7 linked regions of the Callithrix jacchus genome follow. The protein of the gene in region 1 binds, or shares a complex with, the protein of each later gene. Links are inferred from orthologs where the notes say so. Each region holds a gene or a part of one and is shown in the gene's direction. Other genes may lie near its edges.

What was found.
Region 2: the proteins of SFN (region 1) and ESRRG are in contact, whole or in part, in a crystal structure (PDB 8BJG), measured with the Homo sapiens proteins. The link is inferred for Callithrix jacchus from reciprocal best matches to the Homo sapiens genes SFN and ESRRG. Residues at the interface, in NP_006133.1 of Homo sapiens: Asn42, Ser45, Val46, Lys49, Arg56, Arg60, Arg129, Tyr130, Glu133, Gly171, Leu174, Asn175, Val178, Glu182, Leu222, Asp225, Asn226, Leu229, Trp230; in NP_001429.2 of Homo sapiens: Arg175, Arg176, Arg177, Lys178, Ser179, Cys180, Gln181, Ala182.
Region 3: the proteins of SFN (region 1) and RND3 are in contact, whole or in part, in a crystal structure (PDB 7OBC), measured with the Homo sapiens proteins. The link is inferred for Callithrix jacchus from reciprocal best matches to the Homo sapiens genes SFN and RND3. Residues at the interface, in NP_006133.1 of Homo sapiens: Lys49, Arg56, Arg60, Lys122, Asp126, Arg129, Tyr130, Glu133, Gly171, Leu174, Asn175, Val178, Glu182, Ile219, Leu222, Asp225, Asn226, Leu229, Trp230; in NP_001241667.1 of Homo sapiens: Asp236, Lys237, Ala238, Lys239, Ser240, Cys241.
Region 4: the proteins of SFN (region 1) and SOS1 are in contact, whole or in part, in a crystal structure (PDB 6Y44), measured with the Homo sapiens proteins. The link is inferred for Callithrix jacchus from reciprocal best matches to the Homo sapiens genes SFN and SOS1. Residues at the interface, in NP_006133.1 of Homo sapiens: Glu14, Asn42, Ser45, Val46, Lys49, Arg56, Phe119, Lys122, Arg129, Tyr130, Pro167, Ile168, Gly171, Leu174, Asn175, Val178, Glu182, Leu218, Ile219, Leu222, Asp225, Asn226, Leu229, Trp230; in NP_005624.2 of Homo sapiens: Arg1158, Pro1159, Glu1160, Ser1161, Ala1162, Pro1163, Ala1164, Glu1165, Ser1166.
Region 5: the proteins of SFN (region 1) and MLXIPL are in contact, whole or in part, in a crystal structure (PDB 8BTQ), measured with the Homo sapiens proteins. The link is inferred for Callithrix jacchus from reciprocal best matches to the Homo sapiens genes SFN and MLXIPL. Residues at the interface, in NP_006133.1 of Homo sapiens: Gly53, Arg56, Ala57, Arg60, Gln67, Arg129, Val178, Tyr181, Glu182, Lys214, Thr217, Leu218, Gln221, Leu222, Arg224, Asp225, Asn226, Leu229, Trp230; in NP_116569.1 of Homo sapiens: Arg117, Ile120, Arg121, Asn124, Trp127, Arg128, Ala129, Trp130, Tyr131, Ile132, Tyr134.
Region 6: the proteins of SFN (region 1) and KCNK9 are in contact, whole or in part, in a crystal structure (PDB 3P1P), measured with the Homo sapiens proteins. The link is inferred for Callithrix jacchus from reciprocal best matches to the Homo sapiens genes SFN and KCNK9. Residues at the interface, in NP_006133.1 of Homo sapiens: Lys49, Arg56, Arg60, Lys122, Asp126, Arg129, Tyr130, Glu133, Gly171, Leu174, Asn175, Val178, Glu182, Leu222, Asp225, Asn226, Leu229, Trp230; in NP_001269463.1 of Homo sapiens: Lys369, Arg370, Arg371, Lys372, Ser373, Val374.
Region 7: the proteins of SFN (region 1) and LRRK2 are in contact, whole or in part, in a crystal structure (PDB 5MYC), measured with the Homo sapiens proteins. The link is inferred for Callithrix jacchus from reciprocal best matches to the Homo sapiens genes SFN and LRRK2. Residues at the interface, in NP_006133.1 of Homo sapiens: Lys11, Glu14, Glu39, Asn42, Leu43, Ser45, Val46, Lys49, Asn50, Arg56, Arg60, Phe119, Lys122, Arg129, Tyr130, Pro167, Ile168, Gly171, Leu174, Asn175, Val178, Tyr181, Glu182, Asp215, Leu218, Ile219, Leu222, Asp225, Asn226, Leu229; in NP_940980.4 of Homo sapiens: Lys907, Ser908, Asn909, Ser910, Ile911, Ser912, Val913, Gly914, Glu915, Phe916, Tyr917, Arg918.

The regions. Positions count from the first base shown.
Region 1 is NC_133508.1:63,511,942-63,514,950, forward strand, and holds SFN (14-3-3 protein sigma), read left to right. Parts: upstream 1-1,196; 5' UTR 1,197-1,259; coding exon 1,260-2,006; 3' UTR 2,007-2,509; downstream 2,510-3,009. UniProt on the Homo sapiens protein: Adapter protein implicated in the regulation of a large spectrum of both general and specialized signaling pathways. Binds to a large number of partners, usually by recognition of a phosphoserine or phosphothreonine motif.
Region 2 is NC_133520.1:12,250,234-12,254,515, forward strand, and holds the start of ESRRG (estrogen-related receptor gamma), read left to right. Parts: upstream 1-1,482; 5' UTR 1,483-1,538; coding exon 1,539-1,627; intron 1,628-4,282. UniProt on the Homo sapiens protein: Orphan receptor that acts as a transcription activator in the absence of bound ligand. Binds specifically to an estrogen response element and activates reporter genes controlled by estrogen response elements.
Region 3 is NC_133507.1:79,914,800-79,919,099, forward strand, and holds the start of RND3 (rho-related GTP-binding protein RhoE), read left to right. Parts: upstream 1-1,500; 5' UTR 1,501-1,728; coding exon 1,729-1,878; exon of another isoform or gene 1,879-1,966; intron 1,967-2,374; coding exon 2,375-2,462; intron 2,463-3,350; exon of another isoform or gene 3,351-3,663; intron 3,664-4,300. UniProt on the Homo sapiens protein: Binds GTP but lacks intrinsic GTPase activity and is resistant to Rho-specific GTPase-activating proteins.
Region 4 is NC_133515.1:75,898,036-75,902,202, forward strand, and holds the start of SOS1 (son of sevenless homolog 1), read left to right. Parts: upstream 1-1,367; 5' UTR 1,368-1,803; coding exon 1,804-1,890; intron 1,891-4,167.
Region 5 is NC_133503.1:10,062,235-10,066,168, forward strand, and holds the start of MLXIPL (carbohydrate-responsive element-binding protein), read left to right. Parts: upstream 1-1,134; 5' UTR 1,135-1,165; coding exon 1,166-1,458; intron 1,459-3,934. UniProt on the Homo sapiens protein: Binds DNA as a heterodimer with MLX/TCFL4 and activates transcription. Binds to the canonical E box sequence 5'-CACGTG-3'. Plays a role in transcriptional activation of glycolytic target genes. Involved in glucose-responsive gene regulation.
Region 6 is NC_133517.1:57,814,637-57,818,609, forward strand, and holds the start of KCNK9 (potassium channel subfamily K member 9), read left to right. Parts: upstream 1-1,173; 5' UTR 1,174-1,911; coding exon 1,912-2,578; exon of another isoform or gene 2,579-2,838; intron 2,839-3,973. UniProt on the Homo sapiens protein: K(+) channel that conducts voltage-dependent outward rectifying currents upon membrane depolarization. Voltage sensing is coupled to K(+) electrochemical gradient in an 'ion flux gating' mode where outward but not inward ion flow opens the gate.
Region 7 is NC_133510.1:35,491,794-35,495,827, reverse strand, and holds the start of LRRK2 (leucine-rich repeat serine/threonine-protein kinase 2), read left to right. Parts: upstream 1-1,234; 5' UTR 1,235-1,374; coding exon 1,375-1,525; intron 1,526-1,799; coding exon 1,800-1,885; intron 1,886-4,034. UniProt on the Homo sapiens protein: Serine/threonine-protein kinase which phosphorylates a broad range of proteins involved in multiple processes such as neuronal plasticity, innate immunity, autophagy, and vesicle trafficking.

The DNA.
Region 1 (3,009 bases):
ATAAAACAGAATGATATGTGTCACTGCCACCTACCTTCCTCAGTCCTCTCCCTCCCCAGGTTGCTAGCGTCCCCCCTGGGGGATCAAACTGGACTGCTTCCCAGCCTCAGACAAGAGGGCAGTCTGAGTCAGGCAGGAAAGTGGGACAGCTGGGGAGCTGGACCCCACCCTCTGGAAGCCCCGCTGGTACCTGATGGCATATGGCTTGGAGAGGGCAGGTGACCTGGCATGGAGGGCCAGAGGGTAAGTCCTCAAACAAGTGGCAACAGGCCACCAACTTGAAAGGGAAAATTGTGTAGTGATGGGAAATGTGTTCAACAAACCTACTGGGTGACTAATTACAAAGGCTGGGCTGGAGCGTCAGAGGCTGCTTGTTAAACACTTTATTAAGTGGCACTCCGAAAGCTGCCACCTGTGCATTCTGGGAGCTCAGAGGGGACCCATCTGGGGGATGGAACTGTCTTCAGGTAGACTGAGGAAGCAGCCTGGATCTCATTTCCAAACACAGCCTGGAGCTCATAGGTCAGAGGCCTCATGGGAGAAAATCTAAAGGAGGTAGGGTGCAGAAAAGAGTTTCAGGGAATTGGTGGCTATGTGACTTTGAGCAAATCTCACCCCTCTCTGAAACTTAGTGTACCCATCTCTATGGTCCTGTGTATGTCACAGAGACATGGAGGGGATTAAAGTTGATCATGAATATAAAAGTGCTTGAGAAACTGTATAGCCCTACCTATACATGAATTATTCTCCCCTGAACCAAGCGGGGGAAGTTACCTCTCCGGATTAGGAACCCCATCCTCCTGAACCTTTATGAGCTCTATCAAGGCTGAAGCAGCCAGGGGCTAAAGCCATCCTTAGCCCCTGGAAGGGCACTGTGAAAGAGGATCTGATATGAGAAGCCAGGCAGCTTCCTGATGTGGGCAGTCATGTAATGCCAGTCCTGAACAAGAGGGGGCAGCGTGGAGCCCAGAAAGGCACCTGTGCAGGTGGGGCCAACGCCCAGATTTCTCCTGCTGACTGTCCTGATGACTCACTCCCACATCCCAACCCTTTTACCTTTCATGCAGAGCCGGAAAGGGTGTGGGGAGGAGAGGAGAGGGAGGCAGGTCTTGGGCCCTGGTCCTGCCCCCTGCTCCTCCCCACCCTTCTCAGGGCCTGGCCACCCAGCCAAAAGGCAGGCCGAAAGCAGGAGAGGCACAGAGTCCGGGATTGGTCCCAGGCAGCAGTTACCCGCCGCCCTCCTGTCTGTTCCCAGAGCCATGGAGAGAGCCAGTCTGATCCAGAAGGCCAAGCTGGCAGAGCAGGCCGAACGCTATGAGGACATGGCAGCCTTCATGAAGGGCGCCGTGGAGAAGGGCGAGGAGCTCTCCTGCGAAGAGCGAAACCTGCTCTCTGTGGCCTACAAGAACGTGGTGGGTGGCCAGAGGGCTGCCTGGAGGGTCCTGTCCAGCATTGAGCAGAAAAGCAATGAGGAGGGCTCGGAGGAGAAGGGCCCCGAGGTGCATGAGTACCGAGAGAAGGTGGAGACTGAGCTCCGGGGCGTGTGCGACACTGTGCTGGGCCTGCTGGACAGACACCTCATCCAGGAGTCTGGGGACGCCGAGAGCCGGGTCTTCTACCTGAAGATGAAGGGCGACTACTACCGCTACCTGGCTGAGGTGGCCACCGGTGACGACAAGAAGCGCATCATTGACTCGGCCCGGTCAGCCTACCAGGAGGCCATGGACATCAGCAAGAAGGAGATGCCGCCCACCAACCCCATCCGCCTGGGCCTGGCCCTGAACTTTTCCGTCTTCCACTACGAGATCGCCAACAGCCCCGAGGAGGCCATCTCGCTGGCCAAGACCACCTTCGACGAGGCCATGGCTGATCTGCACACCCTCAGCGAGGACTCCTACAAAGACAGCACCCTCATCATGCAGCTGCTGCGAGACAACCTGACCCTGTGGACGGCTGACAACGCCGGGGAAGAGGGGGGCGAGGCGCCCCAGGAGCCCCAGAGCTGAGTGTTGCCCGCCACCAGCCGGCCCTGCCCTGCCCCCTCCAGTACCCCACCCTGCCAAGAGGACTAGTATGGGGTGAGAGGCCCCACCCTTCTCCCCCAGGCGCTGTTCTTGCTCCAAAAGGTTCCATGGAAAGGGACTGGCAGAGCCGAGGCCACCTGGGGCTGGGGATCCCACTCTTCTCGCAGCTGTTGAGCACACCTAATCACTGGTCATGCCCCACCCCTGCTCTCTGCACCCGCTTCCTGCCGACCCCACGACCAGGCTACTTCTCCCCGATCTTGCCTCCCTCCTGCCCCTGCTGCCTGATGTTAGGAATTGAGGAGTAAGTGTCCCGCCTTGTGCCTGAGAACTGCACAGTGGTAGGGGCTAGAGATTGTGTGTGTGTGTGTGTGTGTGTGTGTGTGTGTGTGCGTGCGCTTGCCAGTGCAAGATCGAGATTGAGGGAAAGCATGTCGGCTGGGTGTGATCATGTTTCCTCTCAATAAAGTTCCCCTGTAACACTCCTCCTGTCTCTTCCAGTTCTTGGCGATGGGCTGGGAGTGGGACTGGAATCTGATTTAGAGACCCTGAACTTGGACCTGAGTTAGGACCCTGACCTCCCTGGGTGCTCAGTGACCCGCACGCAAGACTTTGAGTCCAGGTGAGGCCGGGGTCCAGCTCTGTCCTTCAGGGAGGCCCCACACTGGACGGGCCCGGAAGGGGCCGGTGAACCCACAGGAGGCGCCAAGGCTCCTCTGCCGGGCTGAGGGGAGGTGAGTGGGAGCCGCGAGGTTGACGAGCTCAGGTGGGGCGGGGCAGGAAACAGTGAAGTCTCCGGCGTGAGATCTAAGGACAGCGCCGCAGTAGCGAGCGGCACTGAGCACCCGATTTGCAAGCAGGTCACAGTCTCATCACGGGCTCCGATCTCAGCGGAGGGGAATACCATCTGAGTGAGGCAGAGGTATAGCGCAACCCTAAAACCCCAGATCTCAGGAGAGAGTCGTGTCCCACAGAGTTCGGAGAT
Region 2 (4,282 bases), on another chromosome or scaffold:
CATAGAGTATTACCTACTCAGAATGTTCTAGCTCATGGAGAGTCTCCCAGTGTGACAGGTCCTACCCCAACTTTTACAGTGTTCCAAATCAATGCACATATCCACACACATCCCCCCACTGTATACTCTCATAGACACAAATATATACACCTAGGCAGACAATTACGAATATATACAAAAAAACATTAGCAGCACCTCTGGATTCTGTGAGTGAACTCGTGCTTAGCACTTTATCTCATTTCTTGCTTTAGAAATATCTTTATCTCTAAATGTACAGAAATTAAAAAGGAAATAATGTGATGAACTGCTTCTTTAAGACAGGGAAAGAGAAGTTCTACACTGGTCATTTGGATCTGGGGAATATTGGCTGGTAGGGAGGGAAGTAGGAGGGAGATCGAATCCCCAGGCTGTATTTTCCTAGCTTTGTGTGTGATTGACAAAGGCCCAAATAGCCTGTAGATGCTGGAGGATTACGTGGGTTGGGAGAGTTCAAGTCACCATCGAGCTTCTCCCTCCACATTAGCCTGGGGACTGAGGTTTTTTTCAGGAGTATGTTCTGCTGCTTCTCAGTGATGCTAAGGAAAGAAAACTATCAGCAGCATGTTGATTTTAGTTTATCATATGTGTAGAGAGTTTGATAGTTTTACTCTGTTTAGATAAATAACATGGAATAGAGGAGATATATAATGGAAAGGTAGAGAGCTCACTAGTTCAAACTAGGGAAAAGTCTGAAATATAAAGTTTAGGAAAGTAGGATGTTTTGTTAATCACTAGTACATAATGTGGATATCCTCACATTGTTTCTAGGTAGAGGTCTTTCAGAAATTTCTTTAACAGGGCTGGGCACAGTGGCTTATGCCTATAATCCCAACACATTGTGAGGCCAAGGTGGGCAGATCACCCAAGGTCAGGAGTTTGAGACCACCCTGGCCAACATAGTGAAACCCCCTGTTTACTAAAAATACAAAAATCAGCAGGGCATAGCGGCACGTGCCTGTAGTCCCAGGTTCTCGGGAGGCTGAGGCAAGAGAATCACTTGACCTGGGAGGTGGAGGTTGCAGTGAGCCGAGATTGCTCCACTGTACTCCAGTCTGGGCAACAGAGTGAAACCCTGTTTCAAAAAAAAAAGAAAAAGAAAAAGAAAATTCTTTAACAGATATGTTAGATATTTTGTAATTAATTTCCTTTAATAAATATTTTTGGGAGTCTACTTGATTTCCAAACCCTGCTCCTGACCCTGAGGCTAGAGTGGTGACAAGGAGAGCCCCAGCACTCACAGACCTTAATGTCTCGTGGAGGTGTTCTGTGATTACGTAACTATACAAAGAGGAACATCCGGAATTCCAGAGGGTGGTGATAGGAAGAAAAGAAATTGAGGATATGATAGAGAACAACTGAACAGTCAGAGGAATATTGAACTTTAAGGGGTAACCTTTGAGCCAAGAGCTGAACAAGGAGGAGGAGCTGATCCTGTGAAGATTTGAGAGTAGAATGTTCTTGGCAGACAGAAGAGCAAGTGCAAAGGCCTGGAGGTGGGAATGAGCTGCGGTGGTTCAAAAAACAGGAAAAGAAAGCAACACGACTGGAGCCTAGTGAATGAAGGAGTGTTTGGACTTGAAGCTGGCAGGTAAGCTGAGACCCGATTGCATTCAGCCTTGTTGCCCGCAGTAAGGCGTGCGCAATGCACTGTGTGTGTGATGGACAGCCAGAGTATCTGCTTGCAGACAGTACGTTGAAATTCTTAAGGTTTATTGAAGTTCTGTCCCTGTAGTATTCCTTTCATCTTTAATTTGCTCGGCTAATCTTTCCTTACATATAGTATGAAGGAAAATTCAGCCTATATTGGATTTTCACAAGAATTCTGAAACCATTCTGGTTTGAATGAAATAAAATGCTATTTTGTGTTGGATGGTATTGAAAGGCTGCCCTATCTGCACTGGGCCCTTAATCTCATTTTGGGTGAGGAATTTTCCTTGAGCAGTTCAGAAGAGGGTAACGTTCTGTTTTGTGCATTCTTTGTATCATTGCTTAATGCAAAGATCCCAGCAACCGCTTCGAACCCTAGAATGCCTGCCTTGTCGTAGACTTCCAGGCAATGGCTGGGGTTTGTAGTCACATACAGTGCAGATGCCCATTTGTATCTGTAATATCTGAGCCTGCCTAATGATCACGCCGCAGCCGGGAGTTGTTGGCGGAAAGCTGTCTTCTGGGCTTCTCGTTGAACATTTCATTCTCCAGTGTTTGTGTTGCCCCTCCTCTTAGGGCTTCCTGAGCTTGCTCTGATAAGTAAAGCCAAGTTTACTTTGTTAAGCTCAGCAGTTCCCAGCAGTAAATAGATAAGAAGGGGGAAAAAATTAAGTATCTTTGGGAGAAAAGAAGCTGTTTCTGTTTACAACAGACACTTTGTCCGCTTTTTCATGACTTCGTTTAATTTTCGCGGTCTGATACGACATTTACCATGATATCCCCTAAACTTTGAAGTTTAACAGAGGGTTTGATTAAGCTTCTTGTCTCTGGTGGAATCATCACATCTGCAGGTAGAACCCTCTGAGTTATTTGAGGAATGTCAGTTGCACTATGTCATCTGTGGGAGAGACGGTTGTTGTTTATCTTGTTTAGAGAATTAAGAAATGATTATCTAACTGATCATCAGTTGGGGGGTGATGATCGCAGCTGCAGTAAATACCCTACTAAAACTTGTAGCCCTCTCATGAATTTTCAAAAGAGTTACTGCTGACTGAGTCCCTTGGTGCTAGGGGCATTTTTGAAATAATCTTTAACACTTATAGCAACCCTGAACGGTAGGTACGGTCACTGTGCTCGTTTTGCAGGTGAGGAAACCGAATCATCAAGAGGTTCAGGGATTTCCCCCGAGTGGAGATGTGAACCCAGGCTCTTTGCATCAGGCCCACTGCCTCCTCCCTCTTGTGCCCTGGGCTCTGTGTATCCTCCTTAGAACAAATGCTCAAGTGTCCAACCAAGAACGTAATTGGATCCTGCAGAGAGTTGCTTTTTTTTTTTAAACTAAATAATGATCCGTGCCTGGTAGCATGCTGCCAGAGCTGCAGAGGATGGTTGGTGTAGATGGCATGTCAGGGGCATTTAGTTTAACCAGGACGTCCACTGTCCTCATCCTCAATTCCCCAAGGCACTTCTTACTCTTCAGGGTGTTTTTTTCTCTTCTGCAACTCTGAGTATTTCTCCAAATGAGATTCAGTCTATCCCCTGAGTAAATAGGCCAGCAGGGACCAGCTGTACAGGGTTCCACCGCCTGCTGTTTCCTCTGTGAATCATGTTCACACCCTCCATTCCTTACAGCTGAGCAATCAGATTCTATCCATATCACCTCAGACCTATAATCTCATTCTTTCCATTCTTTCTTCTATAGTCTCCTGACACACACACACACACACACACACTTGCACACACACAACCACACACTTGCACATACAGCCACAGCCACATAAACACACACGCATCTCTTTGCCTAAGTAACGTTTAGCTTAAAAAAGAGCTTGGCCTGGTGCTACAAGAGTCATGGTCTTTCACAAAGCACTCCATGAAGAATAACATGCTGGGTCATGTCTCCTGTGGTCATTTCCCATGACAGAGATCCCCTGCAGTGCTGCATTATGTAGCACTGGTAATCTATGCCAGATGACATGGGCCTGGGGCACACAGAAGACTAAGGGAATAAGAGGGTACATGATTCCAGGTATGTTTTACAAAGCTCAGAGAAACGTGGTTACACATACACACAAACATGCAAATAAACAGATGTATATGATTATGCACAGGTGGTCCCTTAAAACTGGTCCCTTAAAAAAAAGCAACTCCAGCACTGTGCTTTTCACACAAAGGCCATTCACAAATGCTTGATGAAACAATGACAGCCTTGTACTGTTTCAACAAGTGGGAACGTGCAAACAGGATGGAGTTCAATTGGCCGGCAGTCATTGGGAACCACAGGCCAAATGTGTCAACAGTAGAGAACTGCCACTAAAAAGGCTGGCAGACCCAGCGCGATACATGTGGTCGTGTAGTAGATCCGCGTGTTCGGGGAGGTAGAGCAGCCTCTGAATTGAGTGTCATTTCAGCCATTAGTGTTGTGTTTCATATGGAGCGACACAGCCGTTTCAAAAGCTCTCATGCTTCCTTAGCTGGTGGAAGTTTCAGAAACGATGGGACTATGTACCAGCTCACTACAGAACTCTCAAAGATGACAGGAATAGGTCCAGCTTTGAGAGTTATGTGGGCAATACATGGGAGCATGAACAGAGAA
Region 3 (4,300 bases), on another chromosome or scaffold:
TGTGCTTGCTGAATCTTCAACAAGTGATGCGGACACAGTTTCACCCTCACTAATTGGCCCATGGTACCCTGTGTGTCAGGAGGCACTATAGCTCTGAAGAGCAAACATTGGCAAAGGCTGCTCTAGGAACCCCAGCAGGGCCAGCAACCTACTTGTCTGTGGGTCAGCCTTCCACTTGTGTAAACACAGACCCACCGATGGAGTCTGAGTCACTGCTTTTGGTGGGGGTTCCAATTTTCTCAGACCTGAATAGGACATCATTCTTGGATCACCTACGCTTCAGGGGCCCTACCAGTCCACTACTTACATCAGTGCCTTTTCACTTCCCATGTTGAACGTTCTGCTTCGTTTGTTTTCACCCCACCTTCATCTCATTTAAAAGACTAGGAGGCTCCATCGGGGACCATATAAGTTATTTTTAGCCAATGTCCTACTACAGTGTAATGACTGAAACCTCCTGAGCATTTGGGGTGCACGAGATGAAGAGGAGAATAAGAAAGACTTCTGATAGAAAAAGAACAAATACGTGGACTATTCTGGTCCTTTCTAAGACTTTTGCTTTTGGTGAAGAGTTGGAGGGCTAGGGAAATAGATGTGGAGGAGGGGAGAAGAGAGAGTGGAGGGTTGTACCTGTATTTTTCAGCTAAAAGTGTTTGTGCCTTCTGAGTTCAGCCTAGGGTGCTTTGATTCCACGAGGATGGAGGAGGCTATAGATAAATAATTAACAGACAGTATCAAAATCTGTCCACCTTTCACCATTTGCAGTCTCCTCACTGCAAATGTGGAGAGGTGCAACTCGGCGGACAAGTGTTTGTGTCCCAAGCGCAGTAGGGCTGTCTGCAATGGCCTTTGTCACTCAGTCATGAGCATCTTCCACTTCTTTTTCTTCTCACCTCCCACCTCCTGTCCCCACTCCTCAAAACCTTTCTGCATCCACCTTTATGACTGAAACTGACAGGTTTCAGAAGCCATTCCACTACTGTGACCCAGCCACACCAGTTCTTGCATCGGGAATAAACAGGCTGATCTATTGGTCCATGGCCTATGTACTTGACACAAATCATTAGAAAAAACAGAACCTTAACTCTTCTGTGCCCAAGATTTGCTTCCTATGTTTTATAACTGTGCTTTAGGGTGGGAAATGTTTTTGTTTTCATAAATGCTTATGAGGCTTCTAGACATAAGACCCTATTAAAATGTATTTAAAGGGATTGTAGTTCAAATCGATATGCATAGATATCGGTTTCCCACCTTGCCCTGTTGGACTTGTCAGCAAAACATCTTTGAGGTCTTGAAGTTGTCCCAGAGCCTTGGTCTGAAATAGATCCTGAACGGGCACCCTAGAGGGCGCACTGCTTACATTTTCTGCAAACAACGCAGAGCGCTCACTCCCAGGCTCCACAAAAGGGGAGGAGGCAGATCAGTTTCCTCCTCTCATTGAGAAAGCAGAGGATTGGAAGGCCGGGAGTATAAAGCCGCGCAGAGAGCGTGAAACAAAGCAGTCGGATCGGAATTGGACTTGGGAGGCCCGGTGAGGAGTCAGACAGAAAACTTGTTGGAGGGGAGTAACGAGCCGGCTCCGCTAGCTCTCCTCCTCGTCTGCGCCGCGCTTCAGGGGTTTTCCATCAGCCTTGCGATTTATTTTTATAACGAAAGACATATAAACATATATATAATTTTTCTTCATAAGAGAAAATTCCTGTTCCAAGAGAAAATAAGGCAACATCAATGAAGGAGAGAAGAGCCAGCCAGAAATTATCCAGCAAATCTATCATGGATCCTAATCAGAACGTGAAATGCAAGATAGTTGTGGTGGGAGACAGTCAGTGTGGAAAAACTGCGCTGCTCCATGTCTTCGCCAAGGACTGCTTCCCCGAGGTGAGTTGGCCCGCCGCGGCTTTCTGGAGGAGGTAGGCCCGTGGGATCCCCGTCTTGAGGTGGGCTTCCCCGCTTCCACCCGTTTTTCCTTAAAAAAAAAAAAAAAAAAAAAAAAAAAAAAAGTCGTCTTTCTCAAACCTTACTACTTTCCCCTGGTTAGACTGCGGGGAAGGAGAAAGTGCGCTGGAAGCTTCAGGGCTGGGACGCGCCTGCACATGGGCTGGTTAGCTCCTGAAACTTGTTCCTGTGTGCAAAACCCGGGGTTGGAGATTCGGGTCAGCATGTCCGTGAGAGCAGGGCGGAGCGAGAGGGGAGCAGGACAGGAATTTCGGAAAGGGTCTATGTGCTTGGTGTGTGGTCTGATGGGTGTGAGGGTTTTTTTTCTTAATTGGGGAGCGGGGAGGCGATTTTCAAAGGGTGTTCAATCGGTTTCGTGCGTTTTAAGATAACCTCTTCGCCCTCTTTCCTTCCTCTTTTGCCCATTTTGTCTATCCAGAATTACGTTCCTACAGTGTTTGAGAATTACACGGCCAGTTTTGAAATCGACACACAAAGAATAGAGTTGAGCCTGTGGGACACTTCGGGTAAGAGCGGTAGGACCGCGTGGCGCTTGGGGCGGGTTTCCAGCCGCTGGGGGATGAGCGGCGGGTCTCGGTAAACCGCGCGCTGCAAGCCGTCTGCGCCCCTCCATTAGCTTTGCCCCTTCGGAGGGATTCCCACGGTCTCTGCTGGGCGAAAATTGTATCCCTTCTGGGTGGGGGCGGCAGACGGCAGCGTGGACGAGGAAATGGCAGTGGGGTGAGGAGGGCACTGTGTGCCCGCAGGCTGACCCCGCGGTTGGAGCCACTAGTGGCCAGGTGGCCGGGCACAGTCTGCCCGCGGAGCCGTGGTCTGGTCGCCTTGGGGCGGCCGAGGTGGCCAGACGCTGGGGGGTTTGCGGAGGCTCCGCTTGCGCCCCCGCGGAACCACCCGGCTCGCGGCGGGTTCCCTCCTGATCTAACCTGATGGTTGGCTGGGAGGTGGGGGCCGCCGCGGGGGTGGTGGGAGGCGGGAGAAAATCCCCGAGGCGACGCGGTTACATGCGATTGCCGCTCTTGAGGGAGAGAAACTGAGCGCAGGCAGCCGCGGCGCCGGTGACGCCTACAGCCAGGAATGCGCTGGCGGCGCAGGGGCCGGGCAGCCGCTGGGCTTCCTCTTTGAGCCGCCGGCCGCCCGCGGCGCCTCGGTGCCCACCTGTACCGAACCTCCCTTTCTCCCCCACTCCATCCCAGTGATCTTGCCGTTCCCCTCCACCACACCAGCCCCTCCTGACCTCTGTTGCATCCCCACTCTGCTTGCCTCCAAGTCCGCAGGCAATACTATTCGCCTTTGACCTTCCCGTCTACTTGAATTATTGGCGCCGCGGTGGGTTATATTCATGGGTCTGAGGTTCAAGGCCGGGTTATTGCTTTCCCATGCGCCCACCCACCTACCTGGCGCGCGGTGTTAGGGAGGGCTGGGTACCCTACCGGTGGGAAGCCATCCGGCTCCCCGGCTGAGTTAGGGGTTTGGGCCAGGTCAAAGACCGTGGCGTGGCAGAGGGGCACCATCTAAGGTCTTGGCCGGGGACCCAGGCACCCGCCGCCCTAACCAGCGGTGTCCGGCGAGTCTGTTTCCAAGAAGGGTGTCGCCTCTGGAAAAGCAGGAGTCATTGGGAATGCTGGGTCAAGGCCCCTGCTTAGGGCTGGGAGTTTAGCCGGGAGCTGGGTTGCTAGTGGACGGAGCCAAATCCGGGGTGAAACTGGCGAGGAGGAACGCGCAAGTGCCAACAAGCAGGTTTGCTGTCAGGCGGGGAGGCCCCGAGGTGGAGCCGCGCCCAGCGGGGAGTGGCCTCATGGAGGTGCTTCTGTGAGCTTCCCACAACTCTAGGCTTGAACCGCTGGAGCCCCCGAGGGACGCGGGGGATCTAAGAGCATGAGGAAGGAACCAGACTGACAGGGTCGCCAGAGGCGGTCCCTGCACAAAGGCAAGCGAGAAGTCTCGCAAGAGCGAGCGCCTCTCACGGTCGGTGCCAGATGCTGCGACTGCTGCAGTGAGAAGGGCTGATTTTGTTTCCCCCTAGAGAGTCAGGTTCTTCTTTGAGCCGTTCCAAAGGCAGCAGAGTCAGGACTTTGCCGCCTTGTTTTGTGTTGGGAATTGTACACAGACTCGAAACCATAGAGAAGGTGTTGGTAGACAGAATTCAAGTGATTCCTTATTTCAGTAGTTCCTGTCATCAGAATTATTATACAGCCTCGTACTTAATGGGCTCTGATTCCTAGACACATCATGGTATGTATTAGTTATGCCTAGTGGATGTGACAGCTGGTGTGGTACCAATAATAAGCACCAGTACTCCCTGCCCCCACCCGCAGCCCTGTTTGGACCTAATGCACGATAAAAA
Region 4 (4,167 bases), on another chromosome or scaffold:
TTGGCCAGGCTGGTTTCGAACTCCTGACCTCAGGTGATACACCTACCCTGTCCTCCCAAAGTGCTGGCATTATAAGGCATGAACCACCTTGCCCACTGGCCTGTATATTTTTAAAGGAAATAACTGAAGACTTTCTTTTTTTTTTTTCTTTTTCAGATTTTCACAGAGGTCCTGTAAAGATTATGAACCACTGAACATTTCTCATCTACGTGATCCTGGCTGTTGTTCTTAGGAATAGCAGGACACAATGTCAGCTTCAACCCAAGCTAGTTCCTCTAAACTGCATTCTTATCGGTGAAATGAAAATAATAGGGTTGCTATGGGGATTAAATCAGATGATACTCCAGAAGTGATCATTAATGATAAACCATGAGGTGTCTGCCACAAAGTGCCACTATTATAAACAGTGGCCTGGAGGGACAGTTTATATATACCGGTCCTTTAGCATTCCACTTTCACTGAGTGCCTGTTCTGTGTGGAGGACCTGGTGAAAAAAATCTGCCTTCCAGTTTATTATGTAGTTGAAAGAACCACAAAAGATACAAAACACTATAGACCAAATGCCCTGAGAGAGGAATAAGTGCAGTGTTCTGGGAGCTTTAGAAGAGGTCTCAGTATCCATTGGAGGAAAGTGCTTATTGGAATTCATATTTGGAGAGGGTTGAAAAGATGAACAAATGCAATCTAACACACACAGAAAATCAATACTACATGTACACATTTTATTCTTGATGACGTGGAAAGACCAGTTAAAAACACTGCGATCACTTCTATTGCCCAGCAGATACTTAGCAGTAGGTTTCGAGACAGAGCACCTGTATATTTTGTCCGGTCTGTTTACTATACATTGCGTGCTGGGCAGTCCTTATCTTTGTGTTCGGGAACAAAGTACACACGCCCCTTTCCGAAACGAAAGGCCCAGGGACTCAGAGAGGGGTAGGAGCCCTCACGGCTAGACCACACAGTGGGGGCTTCTTTACCGTAGTTCTTACCCCCTCTGCAGGCCCCACTTTGCCAGGGTTCGATTTCTCGGGCCCTTTCGCCCCTCCTCAGGAGTCCCCAGGAGCGCAACCACAGCCCGGTCAGGCGCCCTGCCTCCCTTCCCCACTCCCCCCGCCCCCAGCTTCCCTCCTCCTTCACCGGGAGCCGGAAAACCCGGAGCGAACCAGCCCAGCCCGGCAGCGCATGCTCAGTAGCGCGCAGGTTCAGTTTGCTAGTAGGAAGCTCCAGCGCTACACCGGCGGCGGCAGCGGCGGCACCTCAGGGCAGCCAGATTCCCCAACAACGACCTCGGGTCCTTCCCCTTCCCCGCGAAACCCCCTCCCCCAGCTCCGCCCCACCCGAGGGCTCTTGCGTTTCGGAGTCTCAACTGCGCGGAGCGGGCGCCGCGGCCAGAGCGTCCCTCCACACGTCCTCCCCCAGCCGCCAGCTCTGCCGCGGGGCCAGGCCGGACCCGGGAGTGCAGCCCCGGCAGGCGGCGGCGGTGTAGCGGGCCGCCCGGGGCGGCGCCGGCGGGCCAGGGAGGGGCGGGGGGGCCTGGCCCCGGGGCGGTGGTGCGGGATGCCGCCGCCTCCGGGTCGCATTCGTTCTCCACGGCTAGTACCCGTGTCGGGTGGGTGGCTGGGCGTGGGCCTCGCCCTTCAGCCCCCTCGCCAGGGCTAGCCCGGCTGCGCGGCGCCCGGAGGGGGCCGGGCCGTCCGGTGGGGCCGCGGCCCTATTCCGCGCAGCGAGCTCGCCCTCTCGCGGCTCCCCGGCCGGGCCGCCGCCGCCCCTCTCCCCGCCCAGAGGCGCCCTGGGGGCACCATGCAGGCGCAGCAGCTGCCCTACGAGTTTTTCAGCGAAGAGAACGCGCCCAAGTGGCGAGGACTGCTGGTGCCTGCCCTGAAAAAGGTGAGGAGCACGCCGGACCCCGCTTCCCGGCCGCAGCCCCCCAGCGCGGGCGCCGAGCAGGCGCAGGGGAAGGGCTGGGGAGGCGGGGCGCGCGCGCAGGGCCGTCTTTCTTCCCTGTCTCGCCGCGTCTCCGAAAGGACGGCGCACACGGGGAGGTCCCCCACACGGCTGGCTCTCAGTGTTGACATCCACCCGTAGTGTGGGAAGGCCGCGGGGAGCCGCGGGCAGTTGCTCCGAATAATCCAACCCCGAGAGGTGAATGCTTTGCCCTTTGATTCCGAGACAACGGTTGGAGAAGCCTCAGTTTTCAGTGGAGGTCAAAGCAGGCCACTTTTCCGCCTTCTCGGTCTTAGCCCGGAGCTGTTGTCAGCCTCATGTTTTAGGTGTCCAGTATGCTCGTTTTAGTGGCTTGAGAATGCCCTGGCCGTAACGCTTGCTCTAAGGAATTGCGAGCTCGCCTGCCAGCAGGAGCGTGGCCTGCTCCGCTCGTCCTCAGTAATCACTCTCTGTTCTCCTGATCTCCCCTGCTCCTCGGATTAACAGGGGCTGGTGCACATGCTACCAATTTCAGGGGTTTTGTTTTGTTTTTGCGGCATTCGAGATTCTTGGTGCTGTCATTTGGCTTGTTAAGAATTTTTAGTCTTTGTATGTTTAAGTTTGCTGTGTTTTTAAATGTTTTAGTATAATTAGGAAATGTTACATTTTTAAAGCTTCTAGAGCAACAGTGTACTAGACTATTTTTGTTTCCTTTTCTTCATTTACCTTTTCTACAAAGATTGCTTTACTCATCTAAGAGTGTTTCTAAATCTGTTTCTTGCTGCTCGAAGACTCTTTCATGTTAATTAGTTAACATATAGTTTTGCTTCTACTAAGAATGGAGATTATGTTGTACCTTTTATGCTAAGCATTAAAAGGTGTCTGATAGTGCTTAAAGGCCAGTAACTTTTACTTTCCCCTTTGCCCTGTTCTCTTGTCCCTCTTGCTATCTTACAGTGGAAACTATTTGGTTTGTTAGGAGAATTTGCTTATGTATTTCTGACTTAAGTTACTGACATTTTCCCCTTCAGGTGTCTGACTAGTCACGAACACCTATGTGATTTTTCTTTTTTTTTTTTTTAAAGAAAACCAAAAAGATGCCATATATCCTTTTCTTTTCTTTTTTAAATAAGATGGGGTTTCACCATGATGGCCAGGCTGGTCTTGAACTTCTGACCTCAGGTGATCCACCCACCTCGGCCTCCCAAAGTGCTAGGATTACAGGCGTGAGCCACTGCACCCAGCCGCCATATGTCTTATGTACTTTAATCCTTAGAAATCCCGTCAGGTTCTCACTACTTACTTTTGCTTTACCTGCAAGTTTGACTTCTTAGCGTGTAATGGAAGGGGTTTAGGAGGTCTCTGTGCTGCCAGAAGCTGATGTCCAGGTAGGGTAAGGGAAGACAGGGAAATTGTTTAAAAACCTGTAAAGGAACTCATAAAGCATTGCCAAATAGGGGCCATTTTGCTTAGAGGCAAAAACAGCTCCTATCCCGGGGGAATCACCAAGCTATCAGCTTAGGATCTTTTGAAGTAGTGGAAGAATACTGTAGGAGTTGACAGACCTTGTTTAATTCTGCCATGCTGGTGGCCCTTGCTGAAATCTGTCCCTAGAAGCATTTTGTTTGGCTGGCACAGTGTTGTTTTATTTTTAAATGTAATTAGTTGCTGGCATTTGAAAATGGGAGATATTACATAAAATCTGAATTTTCAGCTTTTCTTGAAGAATAGGAAGTTCTTGCTAGTTAGGGCCTGTATTCCAGCAAGGCACTAAACTGCTGGAGGTGAGTAAATGGTTGTCCTCTTTAGACAAGGCATGTATCTCCACCTTACCACAACCCCCACTTGTCCTCTTTGTTTATTTACGTAAACCAACTTTTGAATTTAAGGTAGAGATACTTTTGCAGTAAGTGATAGAAGAAGGTGGAAGTATACATAATCTAGCTAATGTGTAAGGTTCTTCCAATTCTTAAATAGCCAATAACTATGATTCTAAGACAAGATTGAAAATACAGTGTATTTCATATCTGGATATGTTGTCCGTAGCTCCAAACCTACATTTTTACCTGCCTGCTGGACATTTCATGTGGATATCTCCATATCTTGATTTCTTTTGATTCACTATTGAATTATTTATAGATGCATCCAACTTGTGCTCTCTTACTCTTACCTGAGGCTCTTTGGACATGCTAGTCCCCTCACCTTTCTTTGCCTGATCCAACACTACTCATCCTTCTAGAC
Region 5 (3,934 bases), on another chromosome or scaffold:
CAAGATCTCAGCTCACTGCAACCTCCGCCTTCCAGACTTGTGATTCTCCCACCTCAGCCTCCCGAGTAGCTGGGATAACAAGCACGCACCACCACACCTGGCTAATTTTTGTATTTTTAGTAGAGATGGGGTTTTGCCATGTTGGCCAGGCTGGTCTCGAATTCCTGGCCTCAAGCGATCCTCCTGCGTTGGCCTCCCAAAGTGCTTGGATTGCAGGTGTGACCCACTGCACCCGGCCACCATGTTAACTAGAGGTATTAATAACCTCCTGCGGGCCAGGCCCTTCAGGGGCGTTGCTTCGCACCCACCACACAAGGCCCCTGAGAGGTGAGGGTTTCCAGCTGTGTGGAGGACCCAGCGCTAATATGGGGGGTAGGTGGAACACAGGAGTTAGGTGAGGGGAGGTGGTGACCTCTGGACTCACAAGAGGGTGTCCCTGAAAGCACAAACCCCAGGTCCTGAGGGGCCTTCAGGCTCAGGTGTGACAGGGGACCCTCTTGTTGTTGTTAAGACTGGGTATCACTTTGTCATCCAGGCTGGAGTGCAGATCTCCGCTCACTCTCAAGCGATCCTCCCACTTCAGCTTTCCGAGTTCGTGGGACTACAGGTGCACGCCGCCATGCCCGGATAATTTTTGTATGTGTTGTAGAGACAGGGTTTTGCCACGTTGTCGAACACCTGGGCTCAAGGGATCCTCCCACCTCAGCCTCCCCAGTAGCTGGGATTACAGCTTCTCTCCACTGCGCGCAGCTAATTTTTGCATTTTCTTTTTGTAGAGATGGGGGAGGGTCTTGCCATATCGCTGAGTCTAGTCTTGAACTTCTGGCCTTAAGCCATCCTCCCGCGTTGGCCTCCTAAAGTGCTAGGATTACAGGCATGAGCTCCTGGCGCCAGGCCTGACCCTTAAGATCCCTTTGGACCAAAGTAGGGGCTGTTCTATCAGGGACTCCCAGGACAGGGGAGATAAGCCCAACTCGGGGGAGCGCCAGGGCCGCGGGTTCTCACCTGGCGCACAGATTATGCTAATAAAGCCCCGCCCCGCCCCATGCCCCGCCCACCCAATCAGCCTACGAGGCAGGGGCGGGGCTATGTTAATGAGGCCAGTCTGCCCACGAGCAGTTCCCCGCGGAGCCGGGACCAGGCGGTGGCGGCGGCGGCGACAGTCATGGCCGGGGCGCTGGCAGGCCTGGCCGCGGGCTTGCAGGTCCCGCGGGTCGTGCCGAGCCCAGACTCGGACTCGGACACGGACTCGGAGGACCCAAGCCTCCGGCGCGGCGCGGGCGGCTTGCTCCGCTCGCAGGTGATCCACAGCGGTCACTTCATGGTGTCGTCCCCACACAGCGACTCGCTGCCTCGGCGGCGCGACCAGGAGGGCTCCGTGGGGCTCTCCGACTTCGGGCCGCGCAGCATTGACCCCACACTCACTCGCCTCTTCGAGTGCTTGAGCCTGGCCTACAGGTGAGGGCGGCTTTGGGCGTCGACGGGCCCGGCCATCGAGGGTCGAGGAGGGTGGGGAGGGGGGGTCCGGGACAGGACTGCGCGCTGGGGTCCTCAGCACCCCACCCGAGCCCGGCCCGGCAGCTCCTAGAGGCTCTGATCACGCCCTGGACAACCCCTTTCCCCCAGCACCGGGGTCCTCTGACCGCGGCCCAGCCCGCTGGCCCCCAGCGGACCTGCGCAGTTCTGATTCCCGTTCTTCCCCCATCTCCTTCTCCCCAGGGCGCAGACCGCCTGCGCCCCACCTCCACCTGGACCTCCGGGGCCCCTCTCTGGTCCCGGCTCCTCCGTCCCTCCAAAGTGCCAGGCGTCCCAGGTCCCTAGGCCACCCACGCGCATCCCCACTGTCCACTCTGAAGCCACTCCACCCGACCCCCTGCAGGCCTCGGCCCTCCCCCAAGCAGCCCCGGCCCAGGCCCGCCCAGTTCCTGCGCCCTGAGATACTCGCCGCTCCCCTGGCTGTCCCAATACATAACCAAAGTGGACTCAAACTGGCCTAGTCTCTCATCCACCTCCCCGCAATTGCTGAGACACCTCTTCTTGATGTGCTGCGTCAAGGGTGGCGGGAGAAAGGAGGGTGTCCCAGAAATGTCTAAGAGGCGCAGCTTGCAGAGGTTACGCCGGTGCCCGGGAGGGAAGCCTGGGCTCGCCTACCCGCGTCACCGCCCTAGGCTGAGCGCCTGTCGCTGCCTGGGACCCCAGCTCAGAGCCTCCTAGAGCGCACCGGCCGCGCCCGGCTTCCTCTCCACGCCCCACGTCCCAGAGGAGGGCGCGAACCCGAGGCCTGGCCCAGTGCCCTGGAGCAAAGTTCCCCGGAGCGGAGGGGCCAGGATAAATTATCAACCGAAAACCCGTAGGGGAGAAAGGGGGATCGGCCGGCCTTGATCTTTCCTCTGCGGCGCCTCCTCCTGTTCTGAGAACCGATGGCTACACTCTGGCACCTGCCGCCCTGCAGGGGATCGGGAGCTGGGGTGGGGACTGGGTGGGAGGGGGGAGTGTTGCCTGTCCCCAACCGCTGCTGCCCAGCTGCGACCCCATTGGCTGGAGGCAGAGTAACCTTGGCCCACAAGCTCTGGCCCCGGGCCCAGGTCCTGTTGCAACCCGATCGGCCGGGGCGTCAGACCCGTGTGGAAAGTTCAAATTCCCGTCCCTTCTCCCTCCCTCCCCAAATGTCACGCGACTGCCTGGGACGGGGCATCTAAGGTCCTGGTACACTCGATGCCGGCACTCCTCCTAAGATCTCCCATTTCCCACCCACCCCCAACTTTGGCTTCTAGTTATGTACTACCCATCATTCCACTTGGGGGTCCTCACTTCCAACCCCCACCCTGACCATGGGAGAGGTGACCAAAGAGGAGAGGTTCTGGGGAGCTGGCAAAGTAGGGGACAGAGCACACCCCAAAACTGCCCCCCACTAAAAGGCTGCTGACTCAAGGCTGATGTAACCCCAGTCCGAGACAGCTGGGGTAGAGAGGACTGTGTTTTCTCCCCAATCCTCAAATATTAATAGTAAGTCTCTCTGGCCGGTGACAGGGGCTCATGCCTGTAAGCCCAGCACTTGAGGAGGTCAAGATGGGAGGACTGCTTGAGCCCAGGAGTTGGAGACCAGCCTGGGCAACATAGTGAGGGCCCATCTCTACCAAAAAAAAAAAAAAAATTTTTTTTTTTTGAGACAGAGTTTCACTCATTGCCCAGGCTGGAGTGCAATGGCACAATCTGGGCTCACTGCAACCTCCACCTCCCGGGTTCAAGCAATTCTCCTGCCTCAGCCTCCTGAGTAGCTGGGATTAGAGGCATCGGCCACCATGTCCAGCTAATTTTTTTGTATTTTTAGTAAAGACGGGTTTCACCATGTTGGCCACACTGCTCTTGAACTCCTGACTTCAGGTGATCTGCCTACCTTAGCCTCCCAAAGTGCTGGGATTACAGGTGTGAGCCACCTTGCCTGGCCAAAAAGATTTTTTATTAGCCAGGCATGATGGCCCATTCCTAGTCTCAGCTACTCAGGAGGCTGAGGTAGGAGGATTGCTTCAGCCCAGGAGGTTGAGGCTCCAGTGAGACATGATCTCGCCACTGCACTCCACCCTGGGTAACAGAGTGAGACCCTTGGAAGGAAGGAAGGGAAGGAGTGAGGAAGTGAGGGAATGAGAGAGAGAAAGGAGGGAAGGAAGGAAGGAAGAAAGGGAGGGAGGGAGGAAGGGAGGGAGGGAGGGAACGAGAGAGACAAAGAAAGGAGGGAAGGGAGGGAGGGAATGAGAGAGAAAGGAGGGAAGAAAGGAAGGAAGGAAAGAAAGGGAGGGAAGGGAAGGAGGGAGGGAGGAAGGGGAAGGAAAGGGAGGAGAAAAAGAAAAGACATGGGGGGTTGGCACAGTACCAGGAGAGCTTCTAGATTTCCCCATTTGGTGAAGGAAAAGCCCTGAGACTTGAACTGTGGACA
Region 6 (3,973 bases), on another chromosome or scaffold:
CAGCTGCTATCCCGCTGCCAGGCGACACTTTCCCATCTCCATCTCTTCCTTGGCTGGAGTCAAGAGAGAAAGGGGAGCCCCGGGGTCTCTGAGGCTTGGGTCTGTCGGTTTGGAACTCCACTGCTCCTGGCTGGACTGAGGAAGCTGGTGGTCAAGGGAAAGCCCCTTGAAAGCCTAAAGGGAGAGGGCGGGGAGGGGGAGGAGGCCGAAATGGGAAGGAGATAAAGCCTAGAGAGGCCTCATCTGGAAGCAAGGAATAGGTGCGTCCCGGCCCTAGCCTCGCGTTCTTACCCCCGGTGGTCCCGAGAAGGGCTACCGCGTGGCTCAGGGCTGCATCCGGGGCGCAACTTGTGCCCAGCTGTGGGGAACCAGGGTGTTTTTTCTTTTCTTTTCTTTTTTTTCAGTAAAGCAACAGAGGGTCGGGGGATGGCGATGTGTTTCCCCGCTGTCCTGACTCCAAAAGTGGCAGCCCATGCTATCCTTAGCGCTCTCCAGGGGAAACGACTCAGGTCTGCAGGTGCTGGGCCAAGCGGGCTGTGCCGGTGGGAGGCGAGGGAACAGAGTCAGCATCGGGACCCCACCACTCCACGAGGCCATGTCCCTGGCCAACGACACGCTCCCACCTCGGGTGCCTGGGCGGGGGCGTGGGGAGACCTCGTGCACCGCTGCCGCCGCGCTCCGGTGCGCCATGGCCCCCTCCCTTTCTGCTCCCCACTCTCCACCCGATCTGCCTGAAGCTGCCAGTCTGCCATCTCTGGCTGAATCCCGTTTGTCTCCCCCAACCCTGAGTCCCTCAAACTCTCCACCAGCCAGGGCTGCTTGCGCTCTTGGGGAGCCGGGCTAGAAGCACCCAAGAGGCCGCGTTTATCCTCCCATCCCCCGCCAAAACTGGCCGGCGGCTCCGCCCCCGTCCCCTCCCTTGAGGCTCAGGCCGCCCCTCCCGGGCTCCCTCCGCGTGCGCCCTGCGCCGAGCTCGGTCTGCAGCGGGAGCTGCCACAGCAGCCTCGCCAGCTGGCTGGGGACCAGGCGGGAGGTGGCGCGCCCTGGAGGCTGAGGGAGGGAAAGAGGGAGGGAGGCCCGGCCTCGGCGTAGCCCGGCCCCCGCTCCCCGAGGCCCTCCCGCAGGAGCGGGGCTGCCAAGCGCACACACACACGCACACTCACATACACACTCGCACACACACACTCGGGCTCCCAACGGCGCGCACGCACGTAGCGCCTGGGGCAGACCAGCGCAGCGGCCGCCTCCCGGGACGCTCGGACGCCGGAGGGCCCCGACCCCCGCGCGGCTCATGCGCCCGCGTCCGCTCGGCTGCTCCACCAGGCCCGCGGGACCCCTCCCGCCGCCGCCGCCGCCGCGCCCGCCGCCCCCGGAGGAGCGGGCTGGCCGACCGCCACCGCGCCGTCCCCAGGCCGCCCCCGAAGCCACTCCATCGCGGTCCCTGCCGTCCTGGGGCCGAGCCCGGCTCCCGCGCCTTGGGGGTTGAGCCGAGCAAACTTCGCGCACCGGCCGACGCCCGGCAGGGACCCCGCTGCGCCCCCGCGCGCCCGGGTGGGCGCTGGGCTCTCGGACCTTTGGGGAGCAGGCTGCCCCGCCCGCTGCACCTGCTTGGCCCCCTCCCCGCTTGCAGGGGACTCCAGAGACACCGCCACTTCGCAAACTTTTCCTCCCCACCACCGAGAGGGGGCGAGGAGGGGTAAAAGGGGAAGCAGGTCCCGCTGGGCGCGCGGACCTGCAGGCTTCTTTCTGGGCGCCGCCAACCGCGAGCTGGACCCACAGGGTTGCGGGGCCCCGCGGCCGCCCTCCGGCCGCTTTCTGGCCCCGGTTCCCGTCCCTGCTTTTCCCGTGAGAGCGGGGGGCGGGGTGCGGAGGGCAGCGAGGCCCGCGCGGTACCCAGCGGGGCCGCCCTGCATGGCCCTGCGCAGTGGGGCGGGCTGCTTCGGCCGGGTCTGGCGCAGGGTGTCGGGGTTCCCGGACGCCTGGCCCCGGCGCTCGAGCAGCCTCCTGTGCCTGTCCGCCTTCTCGGCTGAGCCCGGGCCCGCGCCGCCCCTGCCCCGCCAGCCGCCTCGCGGTGGCGGTGGCTGTGGCGGCCCCAGCGGAGGGCCCCCCCCCCAGCCTCCCCGCCCCCCGCCTCCCCGCTGCTGCTGCTGCTGCTGCCGCCGCCGCTTACAACTTGGAGGCGGCGGCGGCGGCGGCGGAGGAGGAGGCGGCGGCGGCCGCCGGGCGCTGCAGTGGGACGCGCGCGGCTGTGAGCCTGCGGGACATGCCCCCCGCGCCGGCTCCTTGCTGGCGGCCATGAAGAGGCAGAACGTGCGGACTCTGTCCCTCATCGTCTGCACCTTCACCTACCTGCTGGTGGGCGCCGCGGTGTTCGACGCCCTGGAGTCGGACCACGAGATGCGCGAGGAGGAGAAACTCAAAGCCGAGGAGATCCGGATCAAGGGGAAGTATAACATCAGCAGCGAGGACTACCGGCAGCTGGAGCTGGTGATCCTGCAGTCCGAGCCGCACCGCGCCGGCGTCCAGTGGAAATTCGCCGGCTCCTTCTACTTTGCCATCACGGTCATCACCACCATAGGTAAGGGCTGGGCGCGCCGCCGGGCTCCCGCGCCCCGGGAGGAGTCCGGGAAGGCGGCAGAGCGCGCGGCGCAGGGCTGGGTACAGGGCGTCGAGGGTTAAACGCAGCCTCCCTCTGGGTCCTTCCCGCAGCGCCCCCTCCTATCTAGGGAGCCCTCACCTCTGCGGTGCGCCTCCGAGCCTCACCCTTCGAGGACCCCACCCGGTGCTCTCCAACGCGCTGGTGTCTGGGCCAGGCGTGTGAGCCCCGAGAGCGAGTGTGCCTGAGCCGGGAGGGCGGAGGCGCCACTTTTGCGAAGAGAGTGGAGCGCTAAGAATAATCCCATAGCAGACACCCACCCACCCACCGCCCCGGCGCGGGCTGGGCTGCGCGGGGCTCTGAGCCTTACACTTACTACCTCTCTGGGAGTTGGAGAGGGCTGGCCTGGTACCCATGGCTCCTAGAGGGACTCAGGTGGCAGGGGAGTGCGCCTGGGGGGTGGGAGTCACTGACCCTCCATACCCCCTAGGCCCCCTCCACACTCCTCTGAGCTCAGATTTCATCTCTCTTCCTCCGGCTCCTTTTTTCCTCCCTGAGTTCCAGTTCTGGAGCTTGGGCTTTCCAGGCCCCTGAGAGGAGAGAGTTTGCTCTCTGGTGCTTGTGGTGGGGGTGGCAGCCCCTCAATTGCTCTCAGTAGAGGTGGAGAGTGGGGGCAGGGCAGAACCTGCCCACTCCCTAGGCTGTGACAGTGGGAAAGGCTGGTCTAGATATTGCCCAGAGAACCAGGGAACTTGAGCCCCAGTCTTGAGAGGGGGTCCTGCTGGTAGACTACAGGGATACCCAAGGGCGCTATTCACAGAGCAGGGTCTCTGGTGAGTCCCAGGGGTAGTGTTCCCTCTAGGGCTGGGGGCAGGGAGGACTCCCAGACTTTGTACTTCGAGACCTGTGGGAGAGGGGGCCGGTCCCTCCATCTGGGTAGAGAGGTGGATAACCTGCGCGTGGCAGCAGGCAGGGTAGTGTCTCTGGTTCACTTGTCCCAGTGAGGCAGGCTGCCTCTCTAGGGCCATCTCCTTAGACCTCTCAAGGCCAGTGTGTTAGCTCAGGGGTGGTCTGTTTCCTGAACCCCTCAGGGCTTGATACCCCTGTGCCCTGGGCAGGGGTCTCCTCCTTTCCCCGACTTCTCCCCAGCTTCTCCTGTCTCGCTTCTCTGGACCTCCTCCTCTAATTTTCCCCTTGATATTTTTCTTTGTCTGCAAATCTCTGCATGCTGAAAAAACAGGATTTCTCAGTGCCATATGCAACAGGAAGTGCCAGCACAGGACGGCCTGTCTTTCCTTCTTGGTTGAAAATACTTTTTAGAGAGTCATCTTGTTTTAAATGTTTAATTCATTGGTGCAGGTTTTTCTGTTTGTGAAG
Region 7 (4,034 bases), on another chromosome or scaffold:
AATCCAGCAAAGCTCTTCACTTATCAACTCCAAATCTCAATTTCCTCGTTAGTGAAAGAAGGATACATTTATCCATTTCAGAATTGTCATCAGGATTGAAATAACATGTGAAAACAAATCTAAAATTGTGAAGTACTAACTTCCAGACCAATCCTCTTCTTTGTAGATGAACTTGAGGACAGACACATCACCTGAAGGGTAGATCATCTTTGCCTAGCCTTGTCTACAATGTTCCTGCTTGGTTGCTCCTAGAAAACACATTACTTAGGTACTTAACAGAACAAACAAACAAACATCAAAAAACAAAAAAACTTGGGGGTGATGGACACTCATAAGTAATTCTGAATACCAAGAGAAAAGTACTTAGGTTTGCTTCTCTCACCTTTTCACCTTTCATTTAATGTACCCTGTTCTTCCATGTTAGTTCTAATAGCTCTGAGAGCTGATTACTTTTCGGGTGTCCCAACCATTAGGATCCTGCCTAGTGCAACTCAAATTTCCAAAAGTTAATTTAGGGGCCTTGTGGTGACCAGAGTTTCAGATAACTCACAGAGAAACAATGTTTATTTCCTCTCCCACGAACAGTCACCACAATCATAAAAAAGACAGTAGCAGGCAAGTTTTGAAAGCTAACCTCTCTCTGTCCTTTGGGGGAAATTACTCGATTCCCTATAGGGGGAACTCTAAAGAGAATGTTTTCCTAAAAGGGGCCATCTGGGCGGTGTCCTGTTTTCCCAACGCCCTGATTTCTATTCTTAGATCTGGAGATAGGCGGCTTTCATTTTTCCTGCTCCCAGTTCCCAGACCTTCTGTGGGGGCCTCAGGGACCCCCGCTGGCGGGTAGCGGAGGGTGGCGCCTCCGCTGCGGGGCTCGGGGCCTGGGGCCTCAGCGGAGTCAGCCGAGTCAGTTTTTTTCCTGCGCGACTCGCGGCCGCGCCGCCGCTGGGGTGGAATCTGGTCCCAGGAGGCGGCGCCAGCCCGGGGTCGGGTTTAGGCAGGCGTGGGGGCCACGGTCACGGTCATCCCGGCCAGGCCCGGCTCCAGCAGCCGCTCGGCCGCCGCCAGGGTTCTGGGAGGCCCGTCGCCTCCGCCGAGACTCGGGCAGGCCCCTGAGCTAGTTTTTGGGGCCTGGGTGGGGGAGGAGGAAGCCGAGCAGGAGGGCTCCGGAGAGGGAGGGCAGCGCGGGGCGGGGAGCCGCCGCCTTCCTCATAAACAGGCGGGCGTGGGTGCAGATGGGGCCCGCGGGAAGCGCTGGCTGCGGGCGGTGAGGTGAGCTGTGCTCGCCCCCGGGAAGCTGTGGCCGGCGCCCCTGCCGGTTCCCGGAGTAGCGGACGTTCGTGCTGGGAGGGCTGCGGGCTGGAAGCAGGGGCCACCATGGCTAGTGGCAGCAGTCAGGTGTGCGAGGAGGACGAGGAAACTCTGAAGAAGTTAATAGTCAGGCTGAACAACGTCCAGGAAGGAAAACAGATAGAAACGCTGGTCCAAATCCTGGAGGATCTGCTGGTGTTCACGTACTCCGAGCACGGTAATCACTTTCAAGGAAACTGCATTTATTTTTGCAAACTTTCACCCCCTCCTCACTTTTGCAAACTTCGTCCTCCTTCCCTTGACGCTGCTCAAACCCGGACTCTTAAGGAGCCTCAAACTCCCATATCCTTTCCTTAGGGCTGAGTAGAGTTGAGAATTCCAGAGAGGTCTCGCGTTCACCTTTTTGACTTTTCTCCCTTTTTCAGACTTAAAGGAAAGGGAGTGCTGTGGATTGTGACTTTGCTTCTTTTCCTCACCCCCTTGTTTTCCAGCCTCCAAGTTATTTCAAGGCAAAAATATCCACGTTCCTCTGTTGATCGTCTTGGACTCGTATATGAGAGTCGCGAGTGTGCAGCAGGTAAAGACATTGTTTTCACTTCAACTCATTCCCCCTTCTATTTGGAAGGAGACGTTTTACTGGCAGTGTTATATACCCGGGAGTTCTTGGTTATTCCCGAAATTTGGCCTGAGGAACCTCTGACAGTGATTTTAAGATGGGAACATTGTTAAATCATTAGACAATGTAAACTGGTAAAGGGCCCCAGTACATGTTCCCTGAGTATCTTTCAGAAGTAACTTTATGAAACCCACAATATGGATAGTGTAGTAGGGGGATAGAAATGGGTTCAGGTTTAGTCCCGTTATTGGCAAGATGAATTCATTAGTGTTTAGACCTATTCCAAGAATCTTCCCAATGTAGGGTGTGTCCTAGATAAAAGGATTATGAACAGTTTGGAAAAGGGGAATAACTAATGGTGATAAAATGCCACTTAGTCACTGGCAAACTCTTGTAGAGCTCAGCACTTTATTTTTAAACTCAAAGACAGATATCTAGCCTTCAGTTAGAGTATACCTTGTAGTCTCTAAAGAAAGTGATGTCTTATGAGTTCCTCATAATTTGCAACTGCTGTCATAAAAAATGCGTGTAAAAGTGAAACTTTCACAATATGTACTATTGGAAACTCAGAAATTTGCTAAATACCTTGGATATATTTTTTAAAGGGGGCCTTAAAATGGTAATTAAGATTGATTTCCAGTCAAAACAAAATTATAAGCCAAGGTGATAACTTCCTTTGGAGCACTTTGAGATTTGGGGAACTGACATCTGTTTTGTCATCTAAGTGTTAAGTTAACTCATGCGGAGAAAGAGAATTGAACTTTGAATGCCACGGAGGTGGAGTCAGCAAGCCAATGTTTCTTAATACTTGCGAGGCTTGAGAGATGTAAGACATGTCAATCTTTAAATCGGTGTGCGTCTGTCTTTATCTTCATGCTTATCTCTGTAGCTAGCTGTATCTAGTCTGGGTGAACCATCTAGCTTCTTTGATACAAGGACATTTATATCTGGAAGAAATATTTTAATTTGTTTTCAACTGTGAAATATTTTCCGTTTGACTATTATAGATTTTCCTGCTGATATCAAAACCAAACCAAGAAAAGATGGAGGCATAATAAAGATGCTGTTCTTTTAAGAGTCAAAGTCGGAATTTTGCCTGTGGAATATGAGTCACTCTTTGGGCACTGGCCTATAGTGCTTCCTGCCCTGCACTCACATCATCCCTTCTTACTTGCCACTGCTTTGGTGTTCAGAAGTGCCTGATTCCGGCCAACTTAATTCCCTCGACTCTGTACTTGATAGAGTCACTCCTGCTTGATAACACTCAGGACAGTCAGAACCTGGGTAGGCTTTGGTCTACAGCGTCCAGATAAAGGCAGTGCTACACTTGAGAACCCAAGAGTGCCTGGAACATACTCACCACCTAATTCTTAATTTTAGAAATTGCTCAAACCTGGGCATACTTGTCTGGAGTAGTTATGAGTGTCACTTAATATTTCTGCCAAGAGGGTACCAGAAGCAAAGTATGCTGGAAAACAAGGAAGAGTCTTTTTAAAAGTAATTAATTAATTCATTTTTGATATATCATAGTTATACATATTTTGGGGTTACATATGATATTTTGATACATGTATACAATGTGTAATGTTCAAATCAGGGTAACTGGAATATCTATCACCTGGAACATTTTTCTTTGTGTTGGCAATATTACAGTTCCTTTCTTCTAGCTATTTTGAAATATGCAATAAATTATTAACTGTAATTTCCCTACTATATTATTGTATATGAACTTAATTGTTTCTATCTAATTATATTTTTTGTGCTGATTAAACCACCTTCTTTCATCCCTCCCATCCTTTCATTCCCAGCCTCTGGTCACCACCATTCTACTCTCTCCCTCAATGATATCCACCTTTTCAGCTCCTACATATGAGTGAGACTATGCAATATTTTATTTCTGCACCTGGCTTATTTAATTTAACCTAATAACCTACAGTCCCACCCAGACTGTTGCAAATGACAGGATTTCATTTTGTATGACTGAATAATGTTCCATTGTGTATGTATACCACATTTTCTTTTATTTTTAATTAAGTAATTAATTTAGAGACAGGGTCTCACTCTGCTTCACTGCAGACTTAAAATCTTGGGCTCAAGTAGTTCTCCTGCC